Alligator mississippiensis: one gene and its partners. The protein of the gene in region 3 interacts with the protein of the main gene of each other region in a pairwise test. Links are inferred from orthologs where the notes say so. Each region holds a gene or a part of one and is shown on either strand. Other genes may lie near its edges. The genes, in order: TRIM9, ZYX and VASP.

What was found.
Region 1: the proteins of VASP (region 3) and TRIM9 interact in binary tests that used the Homo sapiens proteins (3 or more experiments, as listed by UniProt). The two-hybrid records come from large-scale screens. The link is inferred for Alligator mississippiensis from reciprocal best matches to the Homo sapiens genes VASP and TRIM9.
Region 2: the proteins of VASP (region 3) and ZYX interact in binary tests that used the Homo sapiens proteins (3 or more experiments, as listed by UniProt). The link is inferred for Alligator mississippiensis from reciprocal best matches to the Homo sapiens genes VASP and ZYX.

What each region holds. Positions count from the first base shown.
Region 1 is NC_081825.1:298,807,811-298,818,158, reverse strand, and holds the start of TRIM9 (E3 ubiquitin-protein ligase TRIM9), read left to right. Parts: upstream 1-6,384; 5' UTR 6,385-6,434; coding exon 6,435-7,259; intron 7,260-10,348. UniProt on the Homo sapiens protein: E3 ubiquitin-protein ligase which ubiquitinates itself in cooperation with an E2 enzyme UBE2D2/UBC4 and serves as a targeting signal for proteasomal degradation.
Region 2 is NC_081827.1:154,143,114-154,153,679, forward strand, and holds the start of ZYX (zyxin), read left to right. Parts: upstream 1-5,808; 5' UTR 5,809-5,895; intron 5,896-6,024; exon of another isoform or gene 6,025-6,146; intron 6,147-10,566. UniProt on the Homo sapiens protein: Adhesion plaque protein. Binds alpha-actinin and the CRP protein. Important for targeting TES and ENA/VASP family members to focal adhesions and for the formation of actin-rich structures.
Region 3 is NC_081838.1:108,813-119,081, forward strand, and holds the start of VASP (vasodilator-stimulated phosphoprotein), read right to left. Parts: upstream 4,571-10,269; 5' UTR 4,525-4,570; coding exon 4,490-4,524; intron 3,374-4,489; exon of another isoform or gene 3,146-3,373; coding exon of another isoform or gene 3,103-3,145; intron 2,869-3,102; coding exon of another isoform or gene 2,810-2,868; intron 2,632-2,809; coding exon of another isoform or gene 2,585-2,631; intron 2,374-2,584; coding exon of another isoform or gene 2,304-2,373; intron 1,768-2,303; coding exon of another isoform or gene 1,629-1,767; intron 1,341-1,628; coding exon of another isoform or gene 1,133-1,340; intron 1-1,132. Other genes in the region: RTN2 (reticulon-2), read left to right, coding at 1,133-1,340, 1,629-1,767, 2,304-2,373, 2,585-2,631, 2,810-2,868, 3,103-3,145. UniProt on the Homo sapiens protein: Ena/VASP proteins are actin-associated proteins involved in a range of processes dependent on cytoskeleton remodeling and cell polarity such as axon guidance, lamellipodial and filopodial dynamics, platelet activation and cell migration.

The DNA of each region.
Region 1 (10,348 bases), on a different chromosome or scaffold from region 3:
GCCAGACTTGCCCAGGGCAGCCACAGCAGCAGCTTCCCATGCCTGCCCCTGGGAGGAAGGGCAGTGTGGGGGACCCCGCTCTCTCCCCATTGCTGCTGCTGTATCTGGCTAAGCCCAGCCTTACACAGCCCAGTTCAAGGAGGCAGGAGCAGCTCCAAAGCTCCCCCCACCCCCTGGACAGTGGGAAAAGCAGTGGCGATGGGAGATGGAGGGGACAGAAGGAGACGGAAGGGGATGTGCCTGATCATGGATGGGAAAACAGGGATGCTTACCTGCTTTGGGGTCTTTAAAGAGTCCCAGAGGCTCCTGGAGTGCGGTTTTCCCCCACCAGTGGCTTGCAGGGAAGGAGGCTGGGAATGGGGTGCAGCCACCCCTGCAGTGTGGGCAGCTGCTCCTGCACCTGACTTTGCCCAATCCTGGATCCACCCCTCTCTTACATGCAATGTCTGGTTACATGCACACTTGGCATTTGCCAGATCACAACACACTCAGCTCCAGACCCCTTTTAATTTCAGTGCCAGCGTTTTTGCAGAAGCTTTTCAGGTGCTCCACGTGCTCCCAGGCTGATTTGACCCAGTTTGGCTCTTGCAGCAATTCTTCTCCCCCCTGCACAGGCATCCTCTACATCCAGAGGTGCTGCTAACCACTAGGCAAGGCCATTAGTAAGCTGTAATAGTGACCTGGCTGCTAAGCACTGGCTACTACACTTTGTACCACATTCACGAGTGCCAGGTGCTCTGATGCCATTTGCCCACAGGCTCACTGGCCAGTATATATTTTCATACCTGCTCTTTTCCAGCAAGAACTGCTACTTCATGCAAGGGAAGAAAATGGGATATTTTAAAGCTGCACAGGTGGAGGTCCATAAACATCATGCACGCACAGCATTGTTTTTGTATAGGACCTAGAAAAGAGTGGGTGAGGCCACATCTGGAGTCCTGTGTCCAGTTTTGGGCCCCTCACTGCAGAAAGGATGTAGACACATTGGAAAAAGTCCAGTGAAGGGCAATGAAAATGGTTGGGGGGCTGGGGGACATGACTTGTGAGGAAAGGCTGAGGGAACTGGGCTTATTTAGTCTGGAGAAGGAAAGACTGAGTGGGGATTGAATAGCAGCCTGCAATTCCCTGCAGGGGGGCTGCAAAGAGGATGGAGCTGGGCTGTTCTCAGTGGGGGCAGATGACCGAGCAAGGAGCAATGGGCGCAAGTTGCAGCAAGGGGAGTTGAGGTTGGATATTAGGAAGTATTTTCTCACCAGGAGGGTAATAAAGCACTGGAACAGGTGACCCAGAGAGGTTGTGGAGGTGTTTAAGACCCGGCTAGACAAAGCCTTGGCTGGGATGATCTAGTTGGGGCTGGTCCTGCTTGGAGCAGGGGTTTGGACTAGATGTGACCTCCTGAGGTCCCTTCCAGCCCTCAGCCCTACTCCGAAAGAGGGAAACCCTTTTTTGTGAGTGCCTAGTTCTCAGCACATCTCCCGTTTCTGAAGGAGACGTGATAGTGCCTCTCTCAGCATGCGTTTCAAGTCATGCTGGGCAAAGACTGCAAGACCCTTCCTAAATGAAGTTCCTCTTCTGTTCTGCATGATCCAAAGCAAACAATTAGCATCTACTCCAGCCTTGATGGCTTTCTTCACATAGGCAATCAATCCAGCACAAAGCGATGTATAGTGGATGCTCGTGCCCTGTGTGTCTGGAGGTGTGTTGTGCAATAATATCTTAGGGAAAAAACCCACACGGCTTCATCAGATATAAAGAACGCAGCTACCATGTCATCCGAAACAGCCCGGAGAGAGCTTTCCTCGGCAGCCGTAAGCTTCTGTCGTGTCTTGTTTTGGAGCCCACGTCGCCAATAAGGAGGCATTCGTGCATGTAGTGATAGACTGCGCACGTGCTCCTGGAGACGATTCAGGCTGGGCTCTTTTTAGTCCATACATGATACTTCCAACACAGGAGCTAAAGAAAAGTACCCCCCGCCTCCCCGAGCCATATTCAGGTGGCCTCAGCACCAGTATTGGAAATGAGGAGTAAAGGAGAGAAGTTGCCCAGCCTCTGGGGAGCCCAGCACTGCCTCTGTATGTGACTGTAGCACCCCAGCCCTTATCCCCAGATCAAAAAGGGGGCGTCTGAAGGGCAGAGCTCGCTCCCTCTGGGTACTTCCCAATAGATCCATGCTGCATGCCCCGAGCAGGGAGCACGCCACACCTCTACCCTTGCAGATCGTCCCTGTGAACAGTCTGCAGCTCTTGACATGCCTTAAAAAGAGTCCGAATCTGTGGGTGGGGAGGGTAAAAATAAATGATGCCAGGGGAGTGCGGCCTTACCTGAAGGGCTAAGTGCAAAGACCAAAGCTGGGGAGGCTGGATGGGTGTAAGAGCTCCAGCAAGGAAAGCCTGTCCCAGTGCAAACCCGTCTGTATGCAGCAAGAAACTACGGGGGGAGAGCAGAGGAAGCCAGTGGGAGATGCGGGCGTGATGGGCAGCAGCATCACTTCCGTGAACCACGCAGCAGTCGGAGCCTGTCTGTGCTAAGATGCCCGCCATGGCCACCCCCTGCTTTCCCACGCTCCTTGGAGCCAATGGGTCCCACCTCCTCCCTCCTGTATGTGCGCAAGGAGAGAAATGAGGCCTGGCTCACAGTGCTGCCTGCAGTCAGTCTGCACCCCCTCAGGTCGGGGAGATGTAGCGAGCCAGCCTCAGTGTCCCCTTCTGTGCCACCAAACACCCAGTGGTCACTACAGCTTCCAACCCCAACCCCTTCCTCCCACCCTTAACTATGCCAAGGCAGCCACAGGTCCTCTTTCACTTGCTTTACCTTTCGCCCCTCCACTGTAGGGTGACTGGGAGCCTTGGCTCATCCGCTCCCCTGAGCTCCAGGGAGGAGCTCTAGGGACCCTACCATGGGCAGGCAGGCCTCAAAGGCACCTCCAGCAGTGCCAGCCATCACCTAGTTCAGAGACAGGGTCGTCCCAATGCAAAGCAGCCCATGGAAATCCTTGTCCAGCCTATTACTAAAACTACATAGGTGACCCTGTCACACAGCCGCAAAGCACAGCACCCGAACCTGCCCCAGGTAAAGCAGAGGACCGTGGTGGCCAATGTCCCCTTGCTGTAAAAGTTGCTAATACATGCTAAGAGGAAGGCAAAACCCCACAGCCCATATAATCTAATCAGGGGGCAAAAGTCCTTCCTGACCCCAAATATGGCATCAATCTGACCCTGAACAGAAGGGCAAGGTGTTCAAGCCAGGGACCTCCAAGTTGACATCCTGGAAGGAGAATTGGCACTGCCCAGTCACAACCCCCAGCCTGGGCTGCAGCCAACACTCATGCCTCTGAGAGAGGTGGAAAACCCCTCCAAACACTCAGCCTGTCTACCCTCTTCCAGCTGCAGGGCTTTATCCCACTTAAGTCCAACACCCAGCACAGGTGCAGCATGCAGGACTAAATGAACGGGGCTGGCCAGTGCCAAGCTGCCTGGCCCTGATCCTGTTTCAGTGCTATTCATGCACCCACACCGCAGTGGGCAGGAGCTGCCCTGTGCTGAGCGACGTCGGATGAGAACTTGAAATCTCTGCCCGGCTCAGTAGAGTCGTATTGCAGATCCCCCCCGCCTTTCTAACAGGCCTGTTTTATGCACAGAAAAATCATGGCTGTGCCTTGCTAACAGAAAACTTCCCTTCACTGCACACCCAGTTGCATTGGTTCCAGACGAGGGGTTTTCAATCTTTATTCATTTGCAGACCCCTACAAAATCTCAAATGGAGATGTGGACCCCTTTGAACTGTAAGTGTGGGGATTCACATACTGCTGATTGATCACAGTCATCTTTCCTGGAGCCCTTAGACATAGTCTGCAGGACCCCAGGGGTCCACGGGCCATAGGTTGCAAACCACTGGTCTAGATGCAGCGCGTGCTTTCTTCTCCTCCAACCTCTCTGAGACATCTGCATGGTGTAGCCCGGGCACCGTGCCCTCTGCAGTTCTGCACTTGCCTTATTTGCTGCAAAAAACCCAGCCTAGGCGCTACCCACCCTAACTTACACATGCAAAAGCACATTTAAGCCCAGGTCCTGGAAGCCCTTATGCACGTGATGACTTTTAGTTGCACCCATTGACGTGACTGCATTCTACTTCAATGGACCCTGTGCATGCAGCTTAAAGTTAAGCCCGTGCTTACGTGTTTGCAGGAGAGCCCAGGTGCTACCGAAGGGACCCATCTTACTGTGAAACATATGAGAACATCAGAACTGCAGTTTACTGGGCCAGACCATAAGACCGGCTGTTGACCATAGACAATAGACCACAGTCCATCTTGCCCGGTCTCCTGTGCCACACCGGGGCAGAGGCTTCCTTCAGGCAGAGGGTTGAGCTAGTTGATCTCAGAAGGTCCCTTCCAGCCCTGCTGCTTTCTGCTTCTGTGAATAACCCCCTGGTCCAGTGGAGTGTGACTGCTCCAGGGCTGGCACGGGGCACCCCTGCCGTGGGTCAGGCTGGAGGGCAAGGGCAGGCATTTGGCCCGGGGGAAGGGGTGGTGGCACCTCCACAACCAATCTGTGCATGATGGCCCTTCATAACTGCATATCATCAATAATACATATAACTCCCTGCCAATAAAAATGAAGGCATGCAAAGAAAAATAATGACATGCAAAGAAAAATAAGGGGACGTAAATACAAATCATGACATGTAAATAAAATAGGGGCATGCAAATAAAAATAACAGCATGCAAATAACATAATGGCATGGAGATAAATAATGGCATGCAAATAAAGATGATGCCATGCCAGTAAAAATAAGGGCAGTTAAATAATGATGCCATGCAAATAAAGATGATGCCATGCAAATAAAAATGATGCCATGCCAAGAAAAATAAGCACATTTAAATAACGATGAGGCCATACAAATAAAGATGATGTCATGCAGATAAAAATGACGCCATGCAAATAAGAATGATGCCATGCCAATACAAATAAGGTTGTTTAAATAAAGATGACGCCACACCACTAAAATAAAAGCAGTTTAATAAAGATGATGCCATGCAAATAAAGATAATGTTACACCAATAAAAACGATGCCACACCAATAAAAATAAGGCCATTTAAATAAAGAGGATGCCATGCCAATAAAAATTATGCCACAGCAATAAAAATAAGGGAAGTTAAGTAAAAATGATGCCATGCAAATAAGGATGATGCCACACCAATATAGATGACACCACACCAATAAAAGTAAGGCGGTTTAAATAAAGATGGGCAGGGGGTCGGATGTGATCTGTTCAGGTCCCTTCCGACTCTACCAACTATGAAACTATGATGCCACACCAATGAAAATGATGCCATGGCAATAAAAATAAGGGCAATTAAATAAAAATGATGCCATGCAAATAAGGATGACGCCACACCAAGAAAGACGATGCCAGTAAAAAGAAGGGCATTAGAATGAAAATGATGGCATGCAAATAAAAGAGTGGCCCGCCCAACAAGATGACGCCACGCCGATAAAGACGACACCACGCCAATGAGACTAAAGGCGTTTCAATCAAGATGACGCCATGCAGACAAAGATGACGGCACACCAATAAAAATGACGCCACGCCAATGAGGACAAAGGCGTTTCAGTCAAGATGACGCCACGCCAATCAAGATGACGCCACACCAATTAGAATAAAGGCGTTTCAATCAAGATGACGTCATGCCAATAAGAATAAAGGCATTTCAATCAAGATGACGCCATGCAGATAAAGATGATGTCACACCAATAAAGATGATGTCATGCCAATGAGAATAAAGGCATTTCCATCAAGATGACGCCATGCCAAACAAGATGACGCCATGCCAATAAAGACGACCTCACGCCAATGAGAATAAAGGCGTTTCAATCAAGATGACGTCACGGCAATCTAGATGACGTCATGCCAATTAAGATGATGCCACGCCAATAAAGATGACGTCACGCCAATGAGAATAAAGGCATTTCAATCAAGATGACGTCATGCAGATAAAGATGACGCCATGCCAATAAAGATGATGCCACACCAATAAGAATAAAGGCGTTTCAATCAAGATGACGCCATGCAAATAACGGTGACGTCAGGCCAATAAAGGTGACGTCACGCCATCCAAAGGCAGGTGACTGTAAATACAAATAAGGCCTTTGCAATCAAAACAGGGCATTTCCACGTAACCTGGGCACACCCGTGCCAGGGCGGGCGAGGAGGAGGACGCGCAGTGCTCGGCGCTGCACGCCCCTGGCCCTGGCCCCGCCCGCTGCGCAGAGCGGGGGGCGGCGGCCAATGGGAGCGGGGGGGCGGGGCGCGGGGCGGGGCGGGGCGGCGCGGCGGTGCGCTGCGCTGGGAGCGGCGCTGGCCGCAGTGCCGGAGCCGGAGCCGGAGCGGGAGCCGGAGCCGGTCGCTGCCCGCGGTGCTGAGCCGTGCCCCGATGGAGGAGATGGAGGAGGAGCTGAAGTGCCCGGTGTGCGGCTCCTTCTACCGCGAGCCCATCATCCTGCCCTGCTCGCACAACCTGTGCCAGGCCTGTGCCCGCAACATCCTGGTGCAGACCCCCGAGGCCGAGTCCCCGCAGAGCCGCCGCGCGTCGGGCTCCGGGGTCTCCGACTACGACTACCTGGACCTGGACAAGATGAGCCTGTACAGCGAGGCGGACAGCGGCTACGGCTCCTACGGCGGCTTCGCCAGCGCGCCCACCACGCCGTGCCAGAAGTCGCCCAACGGCGTGCGGGTCTTCCCGCCGGCCGTGCCCCCGCCGCCCCACCTGCCCCCGGCCGCCACGCTGGCCCCCGTGCCCCGCAACGCCTGCATCACCTGCCCGCAGTGCCACCGCAGCCTCATCCTGGACGAGCGGGGGCTGCGTGGCTTCCCCAAGAACCGGGTGCTGGAGGGCGTCATCGACCGCTACCAGCAGAGCAAGGCGGCCGCGCTGCGCTGCCAGCTGTGCGAGAAGGCGCCCAAGGAGGCCACGGTGATGTGCGAGCAGTGCGACGTCTTCTACTGCGATCCCTGCAGGCTGAGGTGCCACCCGCCCCGGGGCCCCCTCGCTAAACACCGCCTGGTGCCGCCGGCCCAGGGCCGGGTGAGTAGGAGGCTGAGCCCCCGCAAGATCTCCACCTGCACGGATCACGAGCTGGAGAACCACAGCATGTACTGCGTGCAGTGCAAGATGCCTGTGTGCTACCAGTGCCTGGAGGAGGGCAAGCACTCCAGCCACGAGGTCAAGGCCCTGGGCGCCATGTGGAAGCTGCACAAGGTGAGAGCCCTGCCCTGCCCTGCCCTGCCCGGCCGCGGGGGGGCTCGGTGTGTGGCAGGCCCCTGAGGGCCAAATCCTGCACTTCGGGGTCCGCCCTAAGGGTCTGCCACTGGATGCGGTCCCGTGCCCTCGCTCTGGCTGCGCATCTGATGCTCTCCCTGCCTTGCAATGGGGGACGGCTCCGTGGGGACACGTCCCCACATGCCCTCTGCCAGGGGTTGGCACGTGCCTGTGCTGGGGAAGGGGTGCACCGGCGTTCCCCGTCCGTCTTTCCTCCCTGCTCGGCGTGCGTCCCCAGGGCTGGGCCGGGAAAGCAGCAGGGAGGGATGGGCCTGCCAAGGGCCCCCACGAATGGGGGGAGAGCCTGCCCTGGGGACCTGGGTGAGCATGGAGGCATGAGAGGGGGCAGGCAGAGCCAGGGCTGCCCGCTTGGTTGCACACAGATCCGCCACAGGGCAGCATCTCCCTCTGCTTCATGCGTCCCCTCTCCGGTAATCCGGGTCTGTGTGGCGTGTGGCTGACCCTGCCTGAGGTAACTAGGGCAGAAATGACAGGGATGCAGAGAGACACGGTGCGGATCCCCCGGGAGCCCCCGCGCAGCGGTGTGGGAGAGCTGCCCCGGCCCCTCAGGAAACGCTTTCCAGGAACGCTGCCGTCCCGCCGTGTCATGTGCGGAGGTGTGGAGGCAAAGAGCCCCGTGGTGGAGCACATGTGTGGGCAGTGCACGGGGTGGCATGGGGGAGCGAGAAGGGCAAGGGGGTGCTTCTGACGGCCCTCGGGGCTGCTCCTGCAGGGGCGATGCCCCAGTGGCTCTGGGAGCGCGGTCTTCCTGAGAGCATGCAGTGGGGGGAGGGAGTGCGTGCGTGTGTGTGTGTGTGAGTGTGAACTCTGTGTGCATGCATGTCCATGTGTGGCCCCTGTGTGAGTGTGTGTGTATGTCCTCCTTGTGTGTGTGTGTGTCCTCCTTGCATGCGTGCGCGTGTGCGTGTCCTCCATGTGCATGTGTTTGTCCTCTGTGTGTGTGTGTGTGTGTGTGTGTGTGTGTGTGTGTGTGTCCCCTCCATGGGTGCATGCATATGTGTGTCCTCCAGGTGGTTGTGTATGTGTGTGTGTCCTCCATGTGTATGTGTGTGTGTTGTGTGTGTATCCCCTCTGTGTGTGTGTGTCCTCCGTGTGTGTGTGCATGTGTTTGTCTTCCATGTCTGTGTTTGTCCTCCATGTGTGCATGTCCTCTGTGTCTGCACGCATGTGTGTCCTCCATGTATTTGTTTATGTGTCCTCCACGTGTATGTGTCCTCCGCATGGGTGGGGGGGTGGGGGGTGTGCATGTGTTTGTCTTTTGTGTGTGTTTGCCCTTCGTGTGTGTGTCATCTGTGTGTGCATGCACGTGTGTCCACCGTATACATGTGTCCTCCACGTGTATGTGTCCTCTGCATGGGTGTGTGTGTGCATGTCTCCCTCCCACAGCCCGATGAACAGGCTCCCCACTACGACACTCTGGTGCATGTCCTCATCCACCCAGTGACACCAGTCACCCCTGGGTGTCGGGGCCTCCCTGGCTTTCTCGCGGGGGCCAGGAACAAGCGCGTTTCCCATGGAGGGGCGTACTTATGTATTGCGTTACGCTGAGCCGCGCATCTCCGTACAGCCTTGCAGTCGAGGGATGGAGGCGGATGCGGGCCCTGGGGAGCTGCCTCCCAAACAAATATCGCATCACAGGCGAGCAGTGACATCACACGGTTTGGCTATGAGTCTATCCAATTTAACTCCTCCTCTTCTTGGCGTTGTTAGGGCTCAGTCCAGCTGAGCTCTTTAATTAAGTACATGCATAACATTAAGCCTTTGAAGAAGCCTCGTTAGCTATAAAAGGCCCGTGCCTGCAGTTAAGCCCATACTAAAGAGAGGGGCTTTAGTCCCTTTAATGAATATAGAGAGTCCTAGGCTGACCCCTTCATGAGTGGATTTTAACTCAGCTGCTCTTCGGAAATGAAGCCGAGCGGAGATGCTCTTTTGGAGGCCTTTGGTGTCACCGGAGGTGATCACTTCCCTTGCATGTCTTAGCTTCCTGAGCCGGATTTCCGAACATTCGGTCCGGCTGTGCTTTCTCCTGAGTCACCCTGCCGTTCGGCTCATGGATAGGCTGGAGATGCCAGGCTTGTTGCTACTCCCTGCTGGGTAGCAGCTAGGCCAGGAGAGCGTGTCTTGTAAATGCAATAGGATTGAGTCCTCGAATCTGGGAGTGGGCAGCCAGAGCATGGGTCAGGCTTTTGGGGAATGTATGTATTGCAAATAAAGAGCATCAGCCATTGGCGCTTAAAGGCTTCATCCTGCAAGGGGCCTGGGTAGATGAGCACTCAAATGCCTTTCAGGTGTTGAGTCTTTGTGCCCCCACACTACCCAGGGGGGCTTCGACCTGTCACAGAACGAGACGCTGCAAATCAAACAGGACTGGCTGAAAAAGGCTAATTTAAAAGACGGAGGGAATGTCATTCTCGTCCGTCTGGTCATCGTGCTGTGCTCGAGGTGGGCTCTTGGCTCTAATGCACCTTTGAAGCGTGCAAGAGGGCATGACAACGTTCGGATCATGCTCTGCAAACCGACAGTGGAAATATACAGTGGCAACAAGTAACGTCTCTTTATTTCTACTATGAGAAGGACTCGGTCCTTGGTTAAACCCGCGCTGAGCTGAGAACGCCTTGATGAGTTGTTGTTCTTGAAAGCAGTATTCATATATCAAGTTATGACGGCCTAATGCCACAGCTGTTAAATACAGCGTGCTTTACTTAGGGAAGAGATCAATCACCTCTCCCTAGAGAGCTCTTTAACAAGTGACCCACTTCTTCACTATGCGGTGAGACCGTGCTGACGGTGCCGTTCTCACAGCCGAGAATTGCAGATTCAAATGTATATATTTCAGAGAGCGCTGATTTTGAAAATGGGCACAGATAACAAGATAAGACCTTTTCTGTGTGGCCTTGCCTTCCAGCAGAGCTATTGAGATGGTATGCACAGGGACCAAGAGGAAAGTGGAGCGATCATCTGAAACATCCTCCTTTTCATAATATATACATCACTGATCTCTGGAGTTT
Region 2 (10,566 bases), on a different chromosome or scaffold from region 3:
GATGCATGACAAATAGGTCCAAGGAGGTGATACTTCCCCTCTATCAGGAGCTGGTCAGACCGCAGTTGGAGTACTGCGTGCAATTCTGGGCACCACACTTCAAGAAGGATGCGGATAACCTGGAGAGGGTCCAGAGAAGGGCCACTCATATGGTTAGGGGCCTGCAGACCAAGCCCTATGAGGAGAGACTAGAGAAACTGGACCTTTTCAGCCTCCGCAACAGAAGGGAATTGGTGAGTATTTATTCACCAAGGCGCCCCCGGGGGTTACAAGAAACAATGGCCACGAGCTAGCAGACAGCAGATTTAGATTGGACATTAGGAAGAACTTCTTCACAGTTCGAGTGGCCAAGGTCTGGAACGGGCTCCCAAGGGAGGTGGTGCTCTCCCTTACCCTGGGGGTCTTCAAGAGGAGGTTAGATGAGTATCTAGCTGGGGGCATCTAGACCCAGCACTCTTTCCTGCTTATGCAGGGGGTCAGAGTCGATGATCTATTGAGGTCCCTTCCGACCCTAACATCTATGAATCTATGAATCTATGAGTCCTCGCTCACAGGGGAAGGGGCATGGTGGGGCAGATCGAGGCCTGCATGGTGAGGGAGGTGGTGGGGCTGGGACAGGGGCAGGCACTGCCCAGCTGGGGTGGGGCAGGGTGCAAGGACAGAGCCATGGGAAGCTTGTTTAGAGTCACAGGGGTGGGGTGGAGGCAGGGAGGAGGTGGCTCCCGCTGCTGCATACACCCTTGGGGAAGGCATGGGGGGCATGTGCCCCCTGGATTTGTACATGTGGTAAGAACGGGCTGCCCAGGGGCTGTGCCAGCCTCTTCCCAGCAAGGGGGCTGGCTGCACACAGGGCATACAGGGGCAGGGTGGGTGGCGGTGATGCTGTGAGCGGGGGCTATGATGAATTTTGGGGTGGCTGTAGCCCATTCTGTAACCCCCCCCTCCCAGCACCGCTGCCACCTACCCCTCCCCCATCTTTCCTGAGCACAACCTGGTCCAGCCCCCTCTCCCCACTCCCACCACTGGGAAGAGCCCAAAGTGGGCAGCCCGCCATCATCCTGTGCACAAATACGATGAGCATATGCCCCCCATGCCTCCCTTGCAGTGTGCACAGCACGGAGAAACATTTCCCCCCCTCCCTGAATGAGCCACCCATGGCTCCGTCCTGTTCCTTGCCCCGCCTGGGCAGTGTCTGCCCCAGCCCCAGCCCCAGCCCCTCCCTCATCATGGGGGGGGGCCTCAATCTGTTCTCCCCATGCCTCCTCCATCCCCCATGCCCCTTACCCCCCACACACTTACCAGCCAGACACTGCTCTTCAAGCTGCCAGGCTGCATATCAGCAATCGGATCAGTACCAGCCATTATGGCTAGTTAATAATCGACCATCGGTACTGGCCAAAAAATCTTTATCAGTGCACCCCTACTAATTCTACTTCATTCTTTTTGAGATATGGAGACCAAAACTACACACAGTATTCAAGATGTGGGCACACCATGGATTTGCATAACGGCATGATAACATTTTGTTTTCAATTCCCTTAACGATGCCCAAAACTTCATTGGCTTTTTTTGGTTGCCACTGCACATTGAGCTAGGTCAGAACCCAGTATTATGTAGGTATAGTTGAAGCTGTTTTTCCCTAGGTGTATTTTCCTTTCAAAATTAATCTGCCATTTTTTTGCCCACTCAGTCTGCTTGGTAAGATGTTTCTGCAGCTCCTCTTGATCAGTTTGGGACTTGACCACCCAGAATAATTTATCATCTGCAAACTTGGAGATTTCACTCTGCATCCGAATTTCCAAGTCATTGATGAAAATGTTGAACAATACTGGGTCCAGCACAGATCCCTGCGGGATCCCATTCTCAACCTCCCTCCATCCTGAAAAGTAACTGTTTAGCTCTACCCTTTGTTTCTTGCTCTCAGTCTGCAAAAGAACCTTCCCTTCAATCCTGTCACAATGCAGTTTTTTTAAAAGCCTTTGTTGAAAGTTTTGTGAAAGTCCAAATATATTATGTCAACTGGATCTCCCTTGACCACGTGCTTGTTAACACCCTGCACCAGATTTGTGAAGCAGGATTTCTCTTTACAAAAACAGTGCTGGCTCTTCCCTAGCAGATCTTATTCATTCATATGACTGCTGAATTTATTTATTATTGATTCTACCAACTTGTCAGGGATGAAAGTGAGACTCACTGGTCTGTAAGTTCCCAGGTCACCTCTGAAGCCCTTTTTGAAAATGGGCATTTTGTTGGCAACCCACCAGTCCTCTGGCACAGAGTCTGTTTTGTTATGATAAGTTACTGATAGGTTATTGCCAGCCATTCTGAAATTTCACCCTTGAGTTCCTTCAGAACTCTGGGGTGAATGCCATCCGGTCCTCATGACTTATTAGTATTTCATTGGATTTATTCTAAAACTTCCTCTGTTGTTATTTCAGTGTGGTCCAGCTCTTTAGGCTCAATGATTAGAAGGCACTGATCTGGCATGGAAATTTCCACAGTATCTTCTGCAGCAAACATCAACGCAACAATTTTTTTTAGCTTCTCTCCTATGGCTTTATTATCTGAGTGCACCTTTTACACCTTGGTCATCTAATAGTCCCACCAATTATCTAGCTGGCTTCCTGCTTCTGATGTATTTGAAAAAGTTATTATGATGAACTTTAACATTTTTGCTAGATGTTCCTCAAATTCTTTTTTGGCCTTCCTTATTTTGCTTTTATACTTGATCTGCCAGGGCTTGTGATCTTTCCTGTTTTCCTTACTTGGGCATGTTTTCTATTCTTTAAAGGATGCCCGTTTGCCTCGAATGGCTTCCTTGACTCTGCTATTAAAGCATGCAGAGGTTTTATTGGTGTGCATGTTACCCTTTCTGATTTGTGGTACACACTTTTCCTGAGCCTCTAATACGGTATTTTTAAATACCTTTCAAGCTTCCTGCAAGCTTTTTACATTTTTGACTGCTCCTTTAAATTTCTAACTTCCTCATTTTTGTGTAATTTCCCTTCCTAAAGTTGTATATTGGTGTGGTGGACTTCTTTGGCTTACTCCTTCCTGCTAGAATGTTGAACACGATTATGTTATGATTGCTTTTACAGCATGGCTAACCAACAAATACCTCTTGAACTAGGCCCTGTGTGTTACTCAGGATTAGGTCTAGACTTGCATCTCCTCTTGTGGGTTCCAAGATGAGTTGTTGTAGAAAGCAGTCATTTATCACATCCAAAAATTGTATATCCACGTCATGTCCTGATGAGGTGTTTACCCAGTCTATGTGAGGATAGTTGAAGCCTCCCATTATTATCGCTAGTCCTATTTTAGCAGTCTCTTTAATCTCCCTAAGCATTTCATAATTATTTAAACCTGATCAGGTGGTTGGTAGTACAATCCAAGTACTAAATACTTTGTATTCAATTATTGGATTTCTACCCACAGGTATTCTATAGTTGTTTTCCTTTCAGGTAAGATTTGTACGCTCTTACTAGCTATATTATCCTTAACATATATTGCCACTCATCCACCTGCATGTCTTACTCTGTTATTTCTATATAGTTTGTAACCTGTTAGAACAGTATCCCACTGATTATCATCCTTCCTCCAAGTCTCTGGGATGCCTATTATGTCAGCTACCATTTAATACTAGGTATTATAGTTCACCCATCTTATTTTTTAGGCTTCTGGCATTAGTGTAGAAACATTTATAAATGTCCTTGCACAGCTGCCTGCAACTGTTCGCACTGAGCAATGGATTAGCTCAGCAAGCGGCCGATTAACTCAGCTGGTTAGTGCATGGTGCTAATAATGCCAAGGTTGCTGGTCTGATATCTGTTTAAGACACAACACCTTTTCTGCCTCAGGCAGGGGGCTGGACTGGATGACCTCTTAAGGTCCCTTCCAGGCCTACTTCTCTACAACTTCTATTTGGAACTCGATGTTCTGACTTATCTTCACTATTATAGTTATACTTCTTACTCCCTCACTATCCTCTTCAAAACAGTAGACTCCAAATTAACATTCCACTTTTGTTTTGCATCAGCCCAACCTGTGTGCTCTGTGTCACTACAAAATGTCTAATGCAGGCACACTATGTTAGTGTAAACTGCTGTCTCAACTGGCACAATCAGCAGTGTGCCTTAACTGAGGTAGATCTATGATGAGCATACTTTGGAGCAGTTACACTGTTGGCTAATAACCCTAGCACAGATGGACAATGAAGTCATCTAGGCATAACAATTAGTAAGTTATTTCTTAGGAATCTGGCAACAATAGAACCATTAGCCAGTAGCAAGTATCAAGGCCAGATTCTGAGGGCAAAGTCTGATGATTATGCAAAACAAAGGAGTTTCCCTTGGCACTTTCCCTCAAATTCCTTGGAGAGAATTTACTGAGGGAGGTTGTGCTTTGATAAGAGTGGCTTAAAGAAAAGAAAGAAAACCAAAGATCTGGTATTTAAGTTGTGAGGTCCTTGATGTAGGGGCAAGATCTTTTGGGTCAAATACTGTGGAGTGCCGCTGGCCAGCAAAATAATAGGGAACACTTTGAGTGGATTTAGGATTCTGCAGATCAAGATTGTCACATAGGACTGGCAAAGCAGGAGGAATCTTACTCTGTGTGACTATGCATCGGGACTGAGAAGCATCAGTAGATGTCAGGTCTGAAATAGAAAATCAGGTGGCATTAGCATCATTTCAAGAAACAAAGTGATCTTACTGGGGGCTGAGGTTTGAAATAGTTGAGTCATGTCTCATATAGAGTACAACAGGAATACCTTACTTGCAGTATTGTGGGCTTGGCTGTGGGTTGTTTAAAAAAACAAACAAACAACCAACAAACATTGAGAGGACTGGGAAAGTCTGAGTCAGATGCTCTTGCAGCTGGCTCATACATGGAGGGGGCGGGGGAAAAGGATAGATGGGACATGACTCAGGAGAACTGTAAAGTTGCTGCGTTGGTGGCTAGAAAAGTCACCCATAGGCTGCGGACTGAGGAGTGCCACCCGGGCCATGGCCCGACCAACTTTTAGCATGTTAATTTAGCTAGCTACGCAGTTAAAAAAATAGCTATACAGTTTTAATTGGAATGACAATTGTGCATCTGTGGGTTATATAAGTCATGGGCGACTGGTGTCACCTTAGCTGGGGGGGGAGGGGGCACGTGCCCCCCCCCACAACCAGGGGTTCCCCTGCAGGCAATCTTGTGGACTGGGGGGGGAGGAGTCCCCCCATGGCAAAACTCACTGACCGGGAAGTAGCTGCAGGGCTCCCAGAAGCAGCCACGGCGCTACAGCGAGTGCTCCTGCTCTCCCACTAGTGCTTGCAGGGTGGGCACTGGCGCTCCCGCCTGCCCATCGCTTAAGCGGGGAGCACAGCCTGTCAGGGGGTGCAGCAGCGCTCTCAGGGGGTGCACATGCACTCCCAATGCGTCGCCACGGATAAAAATTAACGTGATACAAGTTGGCCGTGCCAGGCCCAGGTAGCCCACCCCGTTCCACGGCCTACGAAGTCGCCAGCCAGCAGGAGTGGCAGAGGGGAAGCATTGAGGACTAGGCGGATACAAGGGAAAAGCAGGCATGGGATCAAGGGGGAGGAGAGAGAAGCAGTGACTGACCCAGGAACGGATGGGCATATGCAGGGCGAGTCACAATGGGGCGGCTCTGGTAAAACACAGCATCTGGGGCTGGGCAAGGAAAGAAGAGAGGCTACAAGACGTTCAGTTTCCAGGCCCTGAAGAGAAGAGAAGAGAAGAAGAGAAGAGCGGACGGGAGGGCGCCTCCTTCTCCTCGGGAGGAGTCGAGGGCGGGGCTGGGGGCGCAGCCTGGAGGGATGACCGCCGCCAGCCAGCTACGGCTTCTCCGCGCCCCCCGCCCGCCCCGTTACCTCATTGCCACATTCCCCGGTGAGTGAGCTCAGCTGCCCGCGCAGCCTCGCGCTCCTTTTATGGGCAAACAGCGCGGGCTGGGCGAGGCCTTCTCGCCGCCTGCGAGGAAGTGATCGGGCTGCTCCGCTCCCCACCCGGCCACATCCTCCCCTTCCCTCCCCTCGCAGCGCAGACGCGGGCCCGGGCAGGGAGCCGAGCCGAGTCGAGCCGCGGCGGACAGGAGCTGGTCCCCGCGGGCGGGGGCTCTGAGGCGTCGGCGCGGAGCGGAGGTGAGCCCCCCCCGCCCGGCCCCGCATCCCGTGAGGCGAGCTCGGGCCCGGGAAGCGGCTCCTCCTTTCTGTCCCGGAGCCCCCCGCGCCTGACCCGCTCCCACACGCGTGGCAGCGTGACTCCGGGCCTGCCTGGCCCCCTCCCCTCCGCGGGCCGGGCGCTGGCCTGCAGCGGGTGCGCGGAAGGGTTTGTGGCTGTTGTCGAGACTTTCTTCTCTTTTGCCAGCGAAGCTATTTATTTTTTGCAGGAGTGACCCGCGAAAAGTGGGGGGTGAAGTGAATGTGGCGCTGCTTCCAGCTGATCCTTTCACTTCGCCTTTGTAGGGGCACTTCCCCTGTGCTGCTTTGCACTTGGAGGAAGCGGGTGACTGCATGCAGAGCCGAGAGTTAAATCGCGAAATAGGTTACTGGATGGTGTGTCGCCCTTGCCTGACTTAAAGCTGAGATGCCCTTCCCTTCGTGGAAGGAAAAAAGTAACTAGGAGGGCACGGGGGACCTCCTCCCCGTGCGAGCATGGGGGAGCGTGGAGACCGGCTTGCGAAGTTCAGGTGTTTGCAAGGTTTCAAGTCCAAGGTTTTATTGTACTTGAGGATTGGTTTGTTCACAAATGTGAGCGCCTTCCTTAAACTGGGTTGCTTCTGTGTATGAGATGCATCTGTGGCCAGCAGGACAGACAGCAGTTTGTGTTCCAGGTGTGTGGAGAAGACATTGCGGGTGGGAAGGTAGCCTTTGCCTGGGGCTTTGGTGATGCCTTCCTCTACACTTCCGCTGGGCTTCCTGAATATTGCTGCTAATAGCAGGGCAGCACGATGATTTAGGATCGGGCCTCTGCTGCTGACACAACCTTTTTGTCCGTTTATATGCATGGATAGCAGACCTGCCTGAACTGGATTGTGTGTTCAGGGGAGCTGCAGCTCGGAATTGAGTACCAGTAGAACTGGACAAGGGGGCAAAACAGCAAGCAGCTGTATTGCAAGTTATTGGGGAAAGCTGTCCCTTGGCTGCCCCATTTTTCTTTTTTAACTTTCCTCTGACAAATAGGGTGGTGGCTGAACAGACGGGAAAGATCACGTTAAGTAACATTTAGGACAGGCAAAGGCAGCTGCTGTGAATAGAGAGAAGCTTTGATCTAAGTAGAACGTGTAGGGAAAGGAGCTGCTTGGGTATATGGGAGAACGGGACCGCTGCAGGTAATTAATCCAAGTGTCTGCATGAAGCAGCCAATGTCCCAGAATCCTTTCTGTGGAGACTGTCCCCATGATGGTGTGCAAGTACAATCTGGCAGTGACTGACTCATGGCCTGTAAGTTTCTACCTGGCAAGATAAGATTGTAATGGTAATGGGTCTTTCCTTAACCTAGCAAAAGCAAAATAAGCTCCAGTGACTTGCCTAGACTGTAGATGAGATTGAGATCTCTATCCATCACTTAAGATCTATATTAATCAATTAAGGTCTCTGTAGGATACGTCTGCTCTTCAGTGCTCTCAAGTCTGCCATTGAAGATCCTGTCCTGCGCATTTTCTCCCTTTTCATATAAGCACAACCGAGAGAAATGAGGCAGCTCGGTCAGGGGATACTTGTTTCCAGGATCGGCTTATGTAGAGGGAGTGTGGGAGGGTAGAGTATAATTTTTTCCCCCTCTCTTTTCAACAGCAGACTCCAAAGTGTTGGAAAAGCAGTGCCCTTAGTACTCTGAATCTTTCAGAAAGAGGATGTTTGCTGGAGTTAGAATACATACATACGTCTGAAAGAATCATTGGGTGGGGTCTGCGATTTGTTTGCTTATACAGGAGATTTGCACTAGCTGACCATAATATTCATTCAGATATATGGAGGTATTCTGCAGGACTCTGAGAAACTTTAATAGTGCCAATGTCTGATACTGGGTGAAATGGGTCTTGGGTTTTAGTAACTAATGACTGTAGAAAGAAGCAATTATCCAGATAGAAATAGTTCCATCACTGGAGGAGAATGGGTGAGGATGAGGGAATGAGACACATTTTTGATAGAGGTGCACTGATATATCAGTTCATATCATATAGGCACTGATAAAAGGAAAATTGACAGTCGGCTTTTTTCGACTGATGTGGCCAATTAATGTTGCCGATTTAAATACTGCATGCATGTGCACAGCCACAGTATGCATATGGCCAGGAGTGCAGCCTGGCAATTTGGAGCACAGTGTCTGACTGGTAAGTCTGTTGGAAGGGGGTTGGGGGGAGTGGGGCTGGTGCAGGTACTGCCCAGCCAGGACAGCTACAGTCACCCTAAAATTCACCATAGCTTCCCAGTGGTAACTCCTTCTCCCAGTGCTGCTGCCGCTCAGCCCAGACACAGTCCCAGCCCAACCCCCCTGCTGGGAAGAGCCCAGCACCGCCCCGGCCTCAGCCTGCCTTTGCCCTGTGCACAGATCCGGTGGGCATGTGCCCCCTGTGCCTCCTCCAGGGGTGTGCACAGCGGTGGGAGCTGGCCTCCACACCCCCTGGACAAGCTGCTCACGGCTCCGTCCTGCACCCTGCCCCTTCCCTTCCCTTGCCTCAGCCCCATTCCCTCCCTCACCACAGGGGGCCTCAATCTGCCCTTCCCCTAATAGACTTACCAGTTGGATGCTGCTCTCCACACTGCCTGGCTTGCATATCGGCAATCAGATCAATATCAGCAGATATGGCTCACTTAATTGACCGTTGGTATCTGCCCAAAAGATCTTTATTGGCGCACCCCTAATTTCTGAGTGCAAGGGCAAACTTCAAAATCATGGAATCATAGAAATTAAGGTCTGGAAGGGACCTTGAGAGATCATTGAGTCCAACCTTCCTGTTCTGGGCAGGAGAACTGCTGAGAAAAATGATCCTAGCATAGTGTCTGTCCAGCCTCCTTTTGAAGATTTCCAAGGTTGGGGACTGTACCACCCCCTTGGGAAGTCTATTCCAGATTCTGGTCACCCTTACCATAAAGAAATTCTTTACATCCAGCCTGAAACCATCCTTTAATGCAGTGGTTCTCAACTTTTTTTTGCTGTGACCCACTGCTGGGAGCAGGGTGCAGCAGCGGCGCCCTGAGGGCAGGGGAGCTCCCGGCACAGCTCGTCTTTTGTGTGCAGCGCTGCTGGCATTGCCCCCCGCAACCCTCATTTGGGTTGCGATCTGAGGTTGGGAGCTACTGCTCTAACAGTTTATGGCCTGCTCCTTGTCCTCCCCTGGGGCGCCCCCTTTTTTTCCCACCTCCATGGCATCTCCACAGTTTGGAAACTTTGGGCACATCATTAACTTCTGGCCACCTATACAGGCTTCATCAGTAATGGATGATCAGTGGGACAGCAATGCTGAGGATTGCTTTCAGCATCAGGACTGTTTTATAGCTGCACTTATTGCCCATGCTGACTGAAAAAGGGCTGGTATTGTTGAGGAACACTGTCCAAGCAGTGCTTTATCCAAAGCTAACTGACTTTGAAGGTTGGTAGTATGCTTGCCTGCGCACCACTGGGAGTATTACTGTATGTGGGTACTAGGCCGTACTGATGTTAAGGCCATACTGGTGGAACTTGGAGCTGCTGGCACTGCAGACTTTTAGTGCAGGCGAGATCTATGGGCTGAATAACAGGATGAGAAGTTTTTTAGAAATTGGCAGTCTTATCATAGGATCTCCAGTACTGATTATGCTGAGTTTGGAAATATCTTAAAGATAAATTAATTCATGGAAAGATGGGGAAAGATTAAGGGGAAAGTTTTTTATTTCTGAAGAGATTCTGTGCCCTTCCCTTCCCCCCCCCCCCCTTAAAGACCTGAGTTCCTATACCAGCAGTGGGTATGTCTAGCTTGGTGTTTCCCAGCCTTTTCCAGCCCAAGGCACACTTACATTAATAACAATTTTCTGTGGCACACCTGTTGAGGCATTCCCCATCTTTATAGCTCATTGCCATGGCAAAATTCTGCAGCACACCTGTTCATTTCTGATGGCACACTTTTGTGCTGCGGCACACTGGTTGGGAAACACTGGTCTAGCTGACTGAGGTAAGCCACATGCCACATTAGCATTGGCATAACTGTGAGCATATAGTGGAACAAAAGAGGTTATTTTGGCAGCACTGTATTCTGCTGCACCCTGAGGCTTTGGCAGCACTGTACTTTGCTGCACCCTGAGGCTAGGTCAGAAGTGGAATGGGCTGGCTTTAGTACAACATCTGTGCAGCAGGGGCTGGGAGGGAGTGACTCTAAGAGTGTGTCAGTGGAGCTGGCTAGATCAAGAAGTCACTTCCTGTAGGAAAGGGAGGAGGCGGGACAGGCTGCCTGTTGTTGCAGCTAGTGAGGATGCTTTAAGAGCTCTTATCTATTACCGCAGTGACAGGGACAGCAAAACCATCAGAGCAGGAGAGCAAGACGGAGACCTTGTCTGAGGAATGTGTTATGCTGTGAAATCCCCT
Region 3 (10,269 bases):
CCAACAACACCCTGGGGCACTGCCAGGGGAGAGAGTCCCACTGCTGGCTATCCCAGAGGCCTGGCTTCTCATCCCAGCCAAGGGATGGGGAAGCAAGGGGACGTGAGTGATGGTGGTCAGAGGCAGTTGGGGGTCCAGAAGGATAGACCCCAGGTTCTAGGCTCCTGGCCTGGCCCCTCAGGGCTCACCCTGCGGCTCTGTGCCCCCCTACCCACAAGGGGGTGCAGGCAAGGCCAGGATTGGCTGGCTATAAATAGCCCGGGGGCCCCTCCCTCCTCCCGCCCCCAGGCCAGGCTCTGTACCAGGGGCTGAGGGGCCTGGAGTGGGTGCTAGGAGCTGGCCTGGGCACTACAGGCTGCATCGCAATGGGCGGCAAAGGTGGGACAGGGTCTAGCCTGTGGGGCTTGTGGCCCTAAAGTTGGGGGGGGGGTGCTGGGATGACAGGGCTGCGGGGAGGTGGGGGGAGGGGGCTGTGGCCCCCCTAGAGTGGGTCAGGCCAAGGAGAGGGGCCTGGGGGCCAAAGAGTAGGGGTGGGGGTTGGGGTGGGGATGAGGGGCCATGGATCAGCATGGAGGGCCCTGGACCCCCCCAGGTGCCTGCCCCTCCCCCGCCTGGCACTTGGGCCTGTCAATTAGGGGTGGGGGAGGGGAGCTGACAGCTGCAGGCGCTGTCCCCCTCCCGCAGCTAAACTTAGCTGCCCCCCACCCCAGGAGGTGGGGACCCCTGGGACCCTTAAAGGGACAGCACCCTCAGCCAGGCTTGGGTCGGGGTGTGCAGAAAGAATAGGAGAAAGCTGGGTGGGCACTGGTGCACAGCCCAGCCCTGCCATTTCCAGGCCCAGTTGCCAGGCACCTGCCCCAGAGCTGGGGCCCTGCCTAGAGTGGGGCAAGGACTCTGGAGGAGATACCTGTGCTGGTGGGTGGGGCTGAGCAGGGCAGCCTGGGGGTGGAGAGGATGTGGCGGGGCTGAGCCTGGCAGTGGAGCCATGGGGGCATTTGGGGGGCTGTTGGGCACTGAGGGGAGGTGGGGGGGATGTGGGGAATGAGCCTGGTGCTGGGGTAGTATGGGGGGCCAAGCAGGGGCCAGAGGCCATGGGGGTGCCTGGCCTTGACCCTGCCCCTCCCCCTGCCAGTGCTGGAGCTGGTGCTGTGGCGGGACATGCGGGCCTCGGGGATGGTGCTGACTGGGCTGGTGCTGGCGCTGCTCTGCTTGGCCCACTTCAGCGCTGTGGCTGTGTGCGCCTGGGCTGCGCTGGGCACCCTCAGCATCACCCTCTCACTGCGGCTCTACCACATGCTGCTGGGCGCCCTGCGGCCTGGCCACCGCCCCAACCCCTTCCAGTGAGTATCGGGGCCCCGACACTGACCCCTCACCCCCAGCACCTCCCAGCAAGTCTCCAGGGACCCCTACCCCCACCACCATCAGCTAGTCTCTGGGGGCCCCCCCACCACCATCAGCTAGTCTCTGGGGGCCCCCACCCCCTTCCAGCTACTACATGGGGACCCCCAGCCACTCACCCCCAGTTCTGCCCCTGCCCTGGTCTCCAGCCCCAGGCTCCCCCAGCAGGGGTCACTGTGGGGGGCAGAGGTAGAATCTGATTTGTTGCTGACCCCCTTTCCCCGCTGCAGGCCCCTGCTGGACACAGATGTGTCGCTGTCCCCAGAGCAGCTGAAGCATGTGGCTGAGCGCATAGGGCAGCACATGGCCGCTGGTGCCCGTACCCTGCGCCACCTCTTCCTTGTCGAGGACCTCGTGGACTCCCTCAAGGTGCCCTCGCCCCTGACCCCCAGTAACCCCCGGTGACCTCTGGGAGGGTCAGCTGCCCTCAGGACGTACCCCCAGGCTGCCCCCTGTGACCTCACACGAGGGCTGTCCCGGCAGGGGTGGGGGTGTGAATCCCGATGCTTTGTGGGGTGGAACAGAGCTGGATGGGGCAGCACGGTGTGGTGACTCCACACTGCTGCTGGCTTCACGTCCAGCCACTTGCCACCCCCCTCCTCGCTGCCAAATCTGCCACCGGCTTCCTTGTGTCTGGGGGCGGGGACCCGCACAGGCTGCTTTGCCCTGGGCCCCACACCCTGCTCAAGTGGTCTGCCTCACACCCACCCCATGGGCAGAGACAGCCCCAATCCCACCCCCGGGGCTGAATCCATGCCAGACCCTGGTATCAGCCCCATCCCTTCCTGCCCATGCTGTTGTGCCAGGGCCTGATCCTGCCCCCAACCAGGCCCTGGATAACCCCCACCACAGGCCCTGGGTTAGGGTAGGAGGAGCTGTGCTGACCCCCCATCTTGCCCCCTCAGTTCGCCTTCCTGTTCTACATCCTCACCTATGTGGGTGCCGTGTTCAATGGGCTGACACTGCTGCTCATGGGTGAGAGGGCACTGGAGGCAGGGGCAGGGGGGCATCTGGGCCCAGTGGGAGAGGGATGAGGGGAACCATGGGGGAGGGGGTGGCATGGTCTGGCTGGGGCTGTGTGCAAATGGGGGGGAGCTGTGTGAGGGCAGGGTAGGGAGTGGCCCAGGCAGGGAGGGCAAGGGTTTGGGGGGGCATGGCTTAGTCTGATTGTCCTGTTCTCCCCCAGGTGTGATAAGTGCATTTACCTTCCCTGTGCTCTACCGGCATCACCAGGTGAGTGTGTGCACATGTGTGCATGTGCAGGGTGGGGAGAAAGCCTTGAAGCAGAGGGCAGATGAATGCCAGTGTCCCTGGGGGAGACAGGCTGCTAGCCCTGTGTCCTGCTATCTCAGGCAGGGAGGGGGTCTCCAGGGGCTCCCCACCTGCCTCACCCCCAGTCCATCTCCTGCAGGCACAGATCGACCAGTACGTGGGCTTGGTGAGGAACCAGCTCAGTCACCTCCGAGCCAAGTGAGTGCCGTGGGGGGGGGCTTCCAGCACTGCCCTCCCCCCCAGAACAGCACCCCTAGTGCATGGGGGCTGCCCTGCCAGCTGGCAGGGGGAAATGAGGGGGGTCATGTGTAATGCAGTCCCCAGTGGGGGCAGGGATGAGGGTAGGGACTCCCAGGGGGCAGGAACAGGGTTGGGAGCCCCAGGGGGGCAGGGCAATGCCCCGGCATGTGACATGTCTCTGCCCCCCTCCAGGATTCAGGCCAAGCTCCCAAGTGCCAAAGCAAAGGCAGAATGAGCATCCACCCTGCCCCGCTCCACCTGAACCCCCTCTGCTGCCACCCTGGGCACAAGTTGCCCATGGGGGGATGCTTGGCGCTGATGGGACGGGGCTTACCCAGGGATGGGCTGGGGATGGGGGCAGCTTGGTGCTCCGGGGCACGAGCTGGGGCAGGAGCCACTCCCTTACCCATGCCCACCCCGGCTGTGTGGGGTTTACACTTTAATAAAAACTCTTGTCACAGAACCGGAGTCCTGTCCATGGAAAAGGTGGGGATGGAGCTGAATACACCGCATTCTTCTCCCCTAGCTGGGAGGGAAGAACCCAGGCATCTGGGTTCCCATCCCCAAAACCCAGGCATCCTATCCCCATTCCCCGCCCCCCTCCTGCCCCCCCAACTGCTCAGGTTAGGTGCCCCTCCCCCGCAGCCTGGTGCTCAGAGGCTGCTGTGGCTCCCTGAGACCCCTGTCCTGGCAGGGGGGAGCAGTGCCAGAGGGGTCTGGCCAGGACTCCTGGGTTCTGTTGTTGGCACCAGGCAGGTACCTCAGAGGCAAGCTACAGTTGGCCTCCCTCCACCTTCCCCAACCCCCTCTCCATCTGCCCCGGGGTGTGGGAGCTGATTGGGCACCTGCCTGACATGGGAGGGGGCAGCCAGGCCATGCTGAGGAGGGGGTATCAGACAAGGCCTGAGCCCTGATCCTGGGCTGGGGAGTGAGAGATTCCCCAGAGCCATGGCTGCCCTAGAGGAGGACTTCCTCCCTCCCCTCCTCCCCCATGAGCCATCCTCACCCCAAGCAAAGTGAGGGAACCCAGGAGTCCTGACTCTCACCCCCACCCCCCTCATCCCAGACTAAACCACCGCAGCCCACTCCCCTCCCAGACAGGGGATAGAACCAAGGCGTCCTGGCCCCCACCTCTCTGCCCTTCCTGGCTCACCTGGGCCAGGCTGTGGCCCTCACCCTGAACAGAGGCCCCAACCCCACTCCTGGGGCAGGACTCCTGGGTTCATTCTGGGCGGGGAGGGGTGCCCCTGTTTCGCTGCGCTGGGCCGCACGGTGGCGCCTCCGGCCCGGCCAAGCCTCGGGATCCCGCTTCGCATGGGGGGGGGGGCAGCAGGGCCAACCCTAACCCAGCCCCGCGTCCGCCTCCTCAACACCCAGAGCCAGTGGGTCAGCGGGGTGCCGGGAGCCGGGACTCCTAGGTTGCAGCTGCAGCTGCAAGAGGTCTAATGCAGGAGGATCAAATCCATCCCGGTCGCGGCGGGAGGAGGGGCCCTGGGTCTCTTCAGGCCACTGCCCCTCCCCGCACCTGCAGGGGTCCCCAGCCCGACCCCGACCCCTATCGGGACTGCACAGCACGTACCCCGCATCTCCCGCCCTGAGTCGTGCCCATGCCATCGGAGCCAGGCCTGGGACCCAGGGGCTGCATCGATCCGGCGTGAGCAGAGACCTGGGCGCCGGGACTCCTGGGTCCCCCTGCCGGAGAGGAAGAGCCTGATCCAGTCGGGAATCCCGGAGCCCCTTCAGCCCTAACCCTAGTCCCAGCCAAGGTCTCGCCGCCCGCAGGCGGCTCCGGCCAGTCATTCCATGCAGGGAGTCTCCAGCAGAGGAGCTCTGCTGGGAGCGGCGATGAGCCGGCAGGGAAGGCGTTAACGCGGGGGGGGGGGAAGAGCTACCCCCCCCAGCCTTGTAGGACCCAGCCCTACCCAACCCTTGCATCGATAGGCGTCTCCAGCCAACCCCGCCCCTCCCCTATAGAGGTCCCAACCCTGCCCCGCCTCCACAGCTATAGGGGTCCCCAGCCCGGCTCCTACCCCACCCCTACCAGGTTCTGGTCCCGCTTCTCCTCTCTCCCTCCCCTGTAGGGTCCGGGCTCTGGCACACCCTCACCCCTATACAGTCCCACCCACTCCTCCACCACACCTACAGGACCCCTCACCCACACCCGTCTAGGCTCTGGCTCTGCCCTTCCCCCACCTCTACAGGGCTCGCGGCCCTGCCGCTTCCCTGCCCCTATAGGGTGCCGGCCCCGCCCCGCCCCACCTCTGTAGGGGTCCCTAGCATCCTCTCCTCCATATCTATAGGTCCTAGTTCCGCTCCTCCCCTATAGGGCCCTGGGCTCGCCCCTGCCCCTACCTGGGTCGCGGCCCGGCCCGCACAGCCCGCCCCCCCCCCCTCACCAACCCGGCCGTGGGTCTGGGTCCCGGCCGGCGGTGCTGACGCCGGGCAGCCCCGCAAGGCAGCTGCCCCCGCGCTATTCTTAGCGCCGCGCGGCTAAAAATAGCGGTCGAGGCCGGGACTGACGCCGCCGAGCGCAGGGGCTGAGTCAGCGCTGCGGGGCCGGGCAGGGCCGGGCCGGCCGAGCTGGGATGCCTCGGTTCCGCGCCTGCGTGGGGAGCCGGGTCGCCTCGGTCCAGTCTCAAATGCAAGGGGCAGGGGCTGGACGCCTGGATTCTGTTCCTGGGCGGGGGATAAGGGCCGGGACGCCTGGGTGCCATGCCTGGGGGTGGAGGCCGGAACGCCTGGGTTTTACCCCTGGCCCTGGGAGGCGGGGCTCCTGGCTCCAATCTCATGGGGGGGGCAGGACGCCTAAGTCCAGCACTTGTAGAGGAGGGATAGAGTTGGGGGCGGCCAGGACGCCTGGGTTATTTTCTTGGCTCTGGAGGACTCCTGGATTCTCCAAAGAACCCTCCGCCCGGGTTCCCGGCAGCAGGTGCAGAACTGTGCCCCCGCCAGCCCTAAGAATGGGACCAGCCAAAACCGCGGGGATCCTGGCCAAGGCCCCCGGGGCTCAGTGTGCTAAGTGTGTCCTACCCAGGGTGTGACCCCCTCCAAGGGCACATTCAGGCCCCCTGCACCTGGAGAACCCAGCCCTACCCCACCAGGCTGAAAAGCATGGAGCTGGGGTCTCAAAGCCAGCCCCACCCCCCTCGCCCCCAGCCGTCGGCTTGGCCCCTGCTCCAGCATTGCCTCCACCGCAGATACCGAGTGCCCCCACACCCCACGCAGGGGGACAACCTGTTGGGCAGGGGAGGGGGTGGAACCCAGGAGTCCCAAGGCCCAGGCACATGAGCGCCCCAGAGCAAAGGCTGCCCTAGAGAATGCTGGGAAATTTCCACCTCATCTGGGCTACATCGTGTCATGTCTCAGGGCAGCAGGGCTGGGAGCTATTGCGCCCCCCCCCACTGGCTCGTGAGGCTGGATGGAGGGGGTCCAGCATGCCTGGCGGGGAGGGGCTGGGGCTGCCAGGCAGGTACCAGGCCCCTGGACTCTGAAAGCAAACCACCTATGAGTTCCCAGGCCCAGAGCCCCATGGCTGGGCACAGCCTGTGGGAGCACTGGCTCCATGCCCCCCTGCAGCCAGCTGGGGCATCCTAGCCTCAGACACTGGCCCCTGGTGTCCCCGTCCCAGGCTCAGAAATGTCCACACAAGGGGTCCCCACCATCTGATCCCCCACTTCCCTCTGCAGCTCCTCACACTCGCTCCCCAGCCCAGCACGGGCAGCTCCATGGCCTGGCCAGGGACCCTCATAGAGCCACATGCCCTATGAGGATCCTCTGTGATGGGCACTGAGTGACAACCAGACTCCTGGGTTCTCTCTCCTGCCTGCTGGACTGGCTGAGGTGTGGGGCCTGGGGCTGCCCTCTTGGCCCACCCAAGTTGTCATCTCCCTGTGCCATTCTCTGTGGGTTGTGGCATTCTGGGCAGGGCTGGCCCTGCATTTGGGGGTGGGGGGGGGGTCTGTGATAGGGCTCCCTCTATGGCTATCCCCCCCCCCCCCCCGCCGCGCAGGGGCAGAGTAGGTATCTGGGGCAGCGCGACTCTGCTTTGGGATCTCTGCAGATAGGCACAGGGCAAAACCCATCCTGGAGTCTGGCCGGCAGTGGAGAGAATGTCCAGAGGTGCCCCCCCCACCCTGCCCCGTAGCTCTGCTGCACCCTGTTATCCGTCTGTCCGTCCTTCTTCACATGTTCCCCCCTCTCCCCTGACACATTGAGGAAAAGGCTCGGTACTCCCCACATGGCCGGCTGGCGGGCGAGGTGGTGGCAATGTAGGTGCCCAGTCCCCCGCGCAGGGGAGTCCTGGTGCATCCGCACGCCCGCAGGACAGCCTGGTGCCCGGGGTTAGAGCCTAGTGCCGGGCGGGAGAAGCCCGGGGTCCAAGCTGTGCAGCGGGGCAGCGAGGAGGAGATCCCAGGGCTCCCTGCATGCCCAGCGGGAGATGCTCGGTGCCCCGGTTCCTGGTGAAGAGAGATGTCCGATGGGGGTCCCTGCAGGAGCCCTGTGCTGGGTGCAGGGGAGATCCTGTGCCCGGGGAAGGGGCGGGGTGCATGTCCAGTGCTGAGGGAGGTGGATGTCTGCTGCCCCGGGGTGGGGGTGGCTGCATGCCCAGTACCCACTGCTCAGGGGGCTGGATGATTGGTGCCCTGGGTGGGGGGGGCGGTGCATGCTCAGTGCCCGGGGATGGATGCCCAGTGCCCAGGAAGGTGCATGGTGCATGCCCAGGGAGTACATGTCCGGGAAGGGGGGGGGGCGGGGTGCATGCCCGATCCCCAGTGGGAATGCATGCCCGGTACCCAGAGAGGTACATACCCGGTGCTGCATGCCTGATGCCTAGTCCCCGGGGGAGGGTGCGTGCCCGGTGGTGCATGCCTGGTGCCCGGGGCGGGAGTGCATGCCCGATGCCCGGGGGGGTAGGGGGGGGCATGCCCGGTGGTGCATGCCCGGTGCCCGGGGGGGGGGGGGGGGTGCATGCCCGGTGCCCAGCCCGGTGCCCCCGCCCTCTCCCGCTTCCAGCCGCGGCCGCTATTTTTAGCAGCTCCGAGCCAAGCCCGAAATAGCGCGGCCCGATATGGAGCGCGATGGAGTCACAGCTTCCGGCACCGACGTCGGCGGCCGCGGCTGGGCCGGGCCCTGCGCTCACGGCGCCCGGGGTCTCCGCGGCCGGGGCGAGGGGCGGTGCTGAACTCCCCCCCCCCCCCCCCCCGGCTCTGCGCTGCCGCCGCCTCGGGCAAGAGGCTGCTTAAGGTGCGGGGAGGGGGGCAGAGGGGCAGCCAGCTGGAGGCGGGGGGCAGGGCCGAGGGCTGCGCTGAAGCTGCTTCTGGGGGGAGGGAGAGGCAGGGGGTTGTGTGTATCGGGACCCCCTCCACAAACACTCTCTCTCCCCCCCCCCGCCCTCTCTCTCTCTCTCTCTCTGCTGGAAGGCAGCTACTTCTAGGGTGGAGCGAGGAGGGGAGTGGTACACAGGGGACCACCCCCCCACACTCTGGTGCTGGAAGGCAGCTGGTTCTGGGGTGGAGCCCCGGACTGTGTACACAGCCCCCCCCCCCCCCACGTGCTGCTCTAGGGGGGAGCTGAACTGAACTGGGGGATCCAGCTTGGGGACAGGCGTTGGGTAAGGGGCCCCTGGAGACACTGTGGTGCTGGGGAGGGGGCGGTTTCTCCCAGAAGCAGTAACCCCCCAACCTCTGGGGCAGGAGCCAGAGGCTAGATCTAGGCCCCACACTGATGCCCCTACCCTCACCCCACTGGCTCTGACAGCCAGGTCCGGACCTCACGGCAGAAACTGAACCCAGGTCTTCTGGTGCCGCCCAGTGCAGCTGCTTACTGGGCCCAGGGCCAAGGCTGGAGTGGGGCCAAGCCAGGGCTGGGGGGGTGCACACACGCAGGCCTGCCACACACATACACACAAACTGTGCACACCACACATGCACACAGACCCACACAGAGTCCTGCCATGCACACAGACACACGTGCTCACTGCCCTGCCCTGCCCCACCCACACACAACTGTGCACATACATGCACATGCATATATAGAGCACTGTCATACACAGAGACACACACACACACACAACTCTGGCCCCTGGACACACACACAGCTGTGCATCACACAACCTCGTCTGTAGCTGGCACACACTGTCTCTCCCCACATTTAGCCCCACAGCACACCCCACAGCACACACAGCCCCACACAGCACTCCCCCCCACCACAGCCTTACAGTGCACAACAACCCTGTATGACACACCCAGCGTTTGCCTGACTCATACCTCTGCATACCTTGCACAGCTCTCTTTGGCCCTCCAGCTCCCTGGACAGGCATGCTCCAGCACAACACACACCTGTGACACCCCCGCCAGCCTTTCCAGCCCTGCACACACAGACCCACCACACATCTCCAGCCCCAAGCTCAGGCCCACAGTTGTGCATAGAGACAGCTGTCAGCATGAAAACCACACACACACAAACCCAGGCATCTGAGACAAACACACACACACACATTCACATGTGCACACGTGTGTGCTCTCTCTCACACACACACACACACACACACACACACACACACACACACACACACAGAACCCAGGCATCTGGTACAAGCACACACACAGAAACACCACAGAGAATCCAGGCATCCAGGACACACTCTCTCTCTCTCTCTCTCTCTCTTTCTCTCTCTCTTTTGCAGGGACCCATAATCCCCGCCCACCCCAGCCAGGCACAGCCACACTTGCTCGCCTGCCAGCCAGACACGTTCAAACAGAGCATCTGCTCATGGACACACAATGACCCTCCCCACCTTCTCCAAGTCACCCACAGGCATACACACAATCACACACTCATACCAGCCAGGTGACAGCTGCTCACGTCACCCCCATGCTGGGGTCAGCATCTGCTCCGCACACACACACACATGCAGACACATGCATGCTAGGACCTTCACACACAGCGTTTGTGTGCATGTGCATGCACTCACGCATGTGAGACACCTGAGTTCTGTGTGTTCTGTATGTGTGTATGCGTGGCCTAGATGCCCAGGTGGTTTGTGTGCATGCACATTTCCCAGACACTGGGGCAGGGGGGGATCCCTCTGTCCCTTGGTTCTGTACATGTGTGTATGTGTCCCAGACACAGGGGCGGGGCGGGGGGGGGGGAAGGAACATGTGTATGTGTCTTGGACACCTGAGTTCTGCATGTGTGACCCAAACCGAACACCCACACACGCCTACTTGCCATCGTCCCCGCTGTGCCAGGGCTGCTTCATGGAGTTAGGCCCCAATGGGCTGGGGGGGGGGGGTGCCGGGGACCAGGCAAGATTGAGCCCACCTGGGAGGAAGGTTTGGGCCTGGGGCAGTGGGGCAG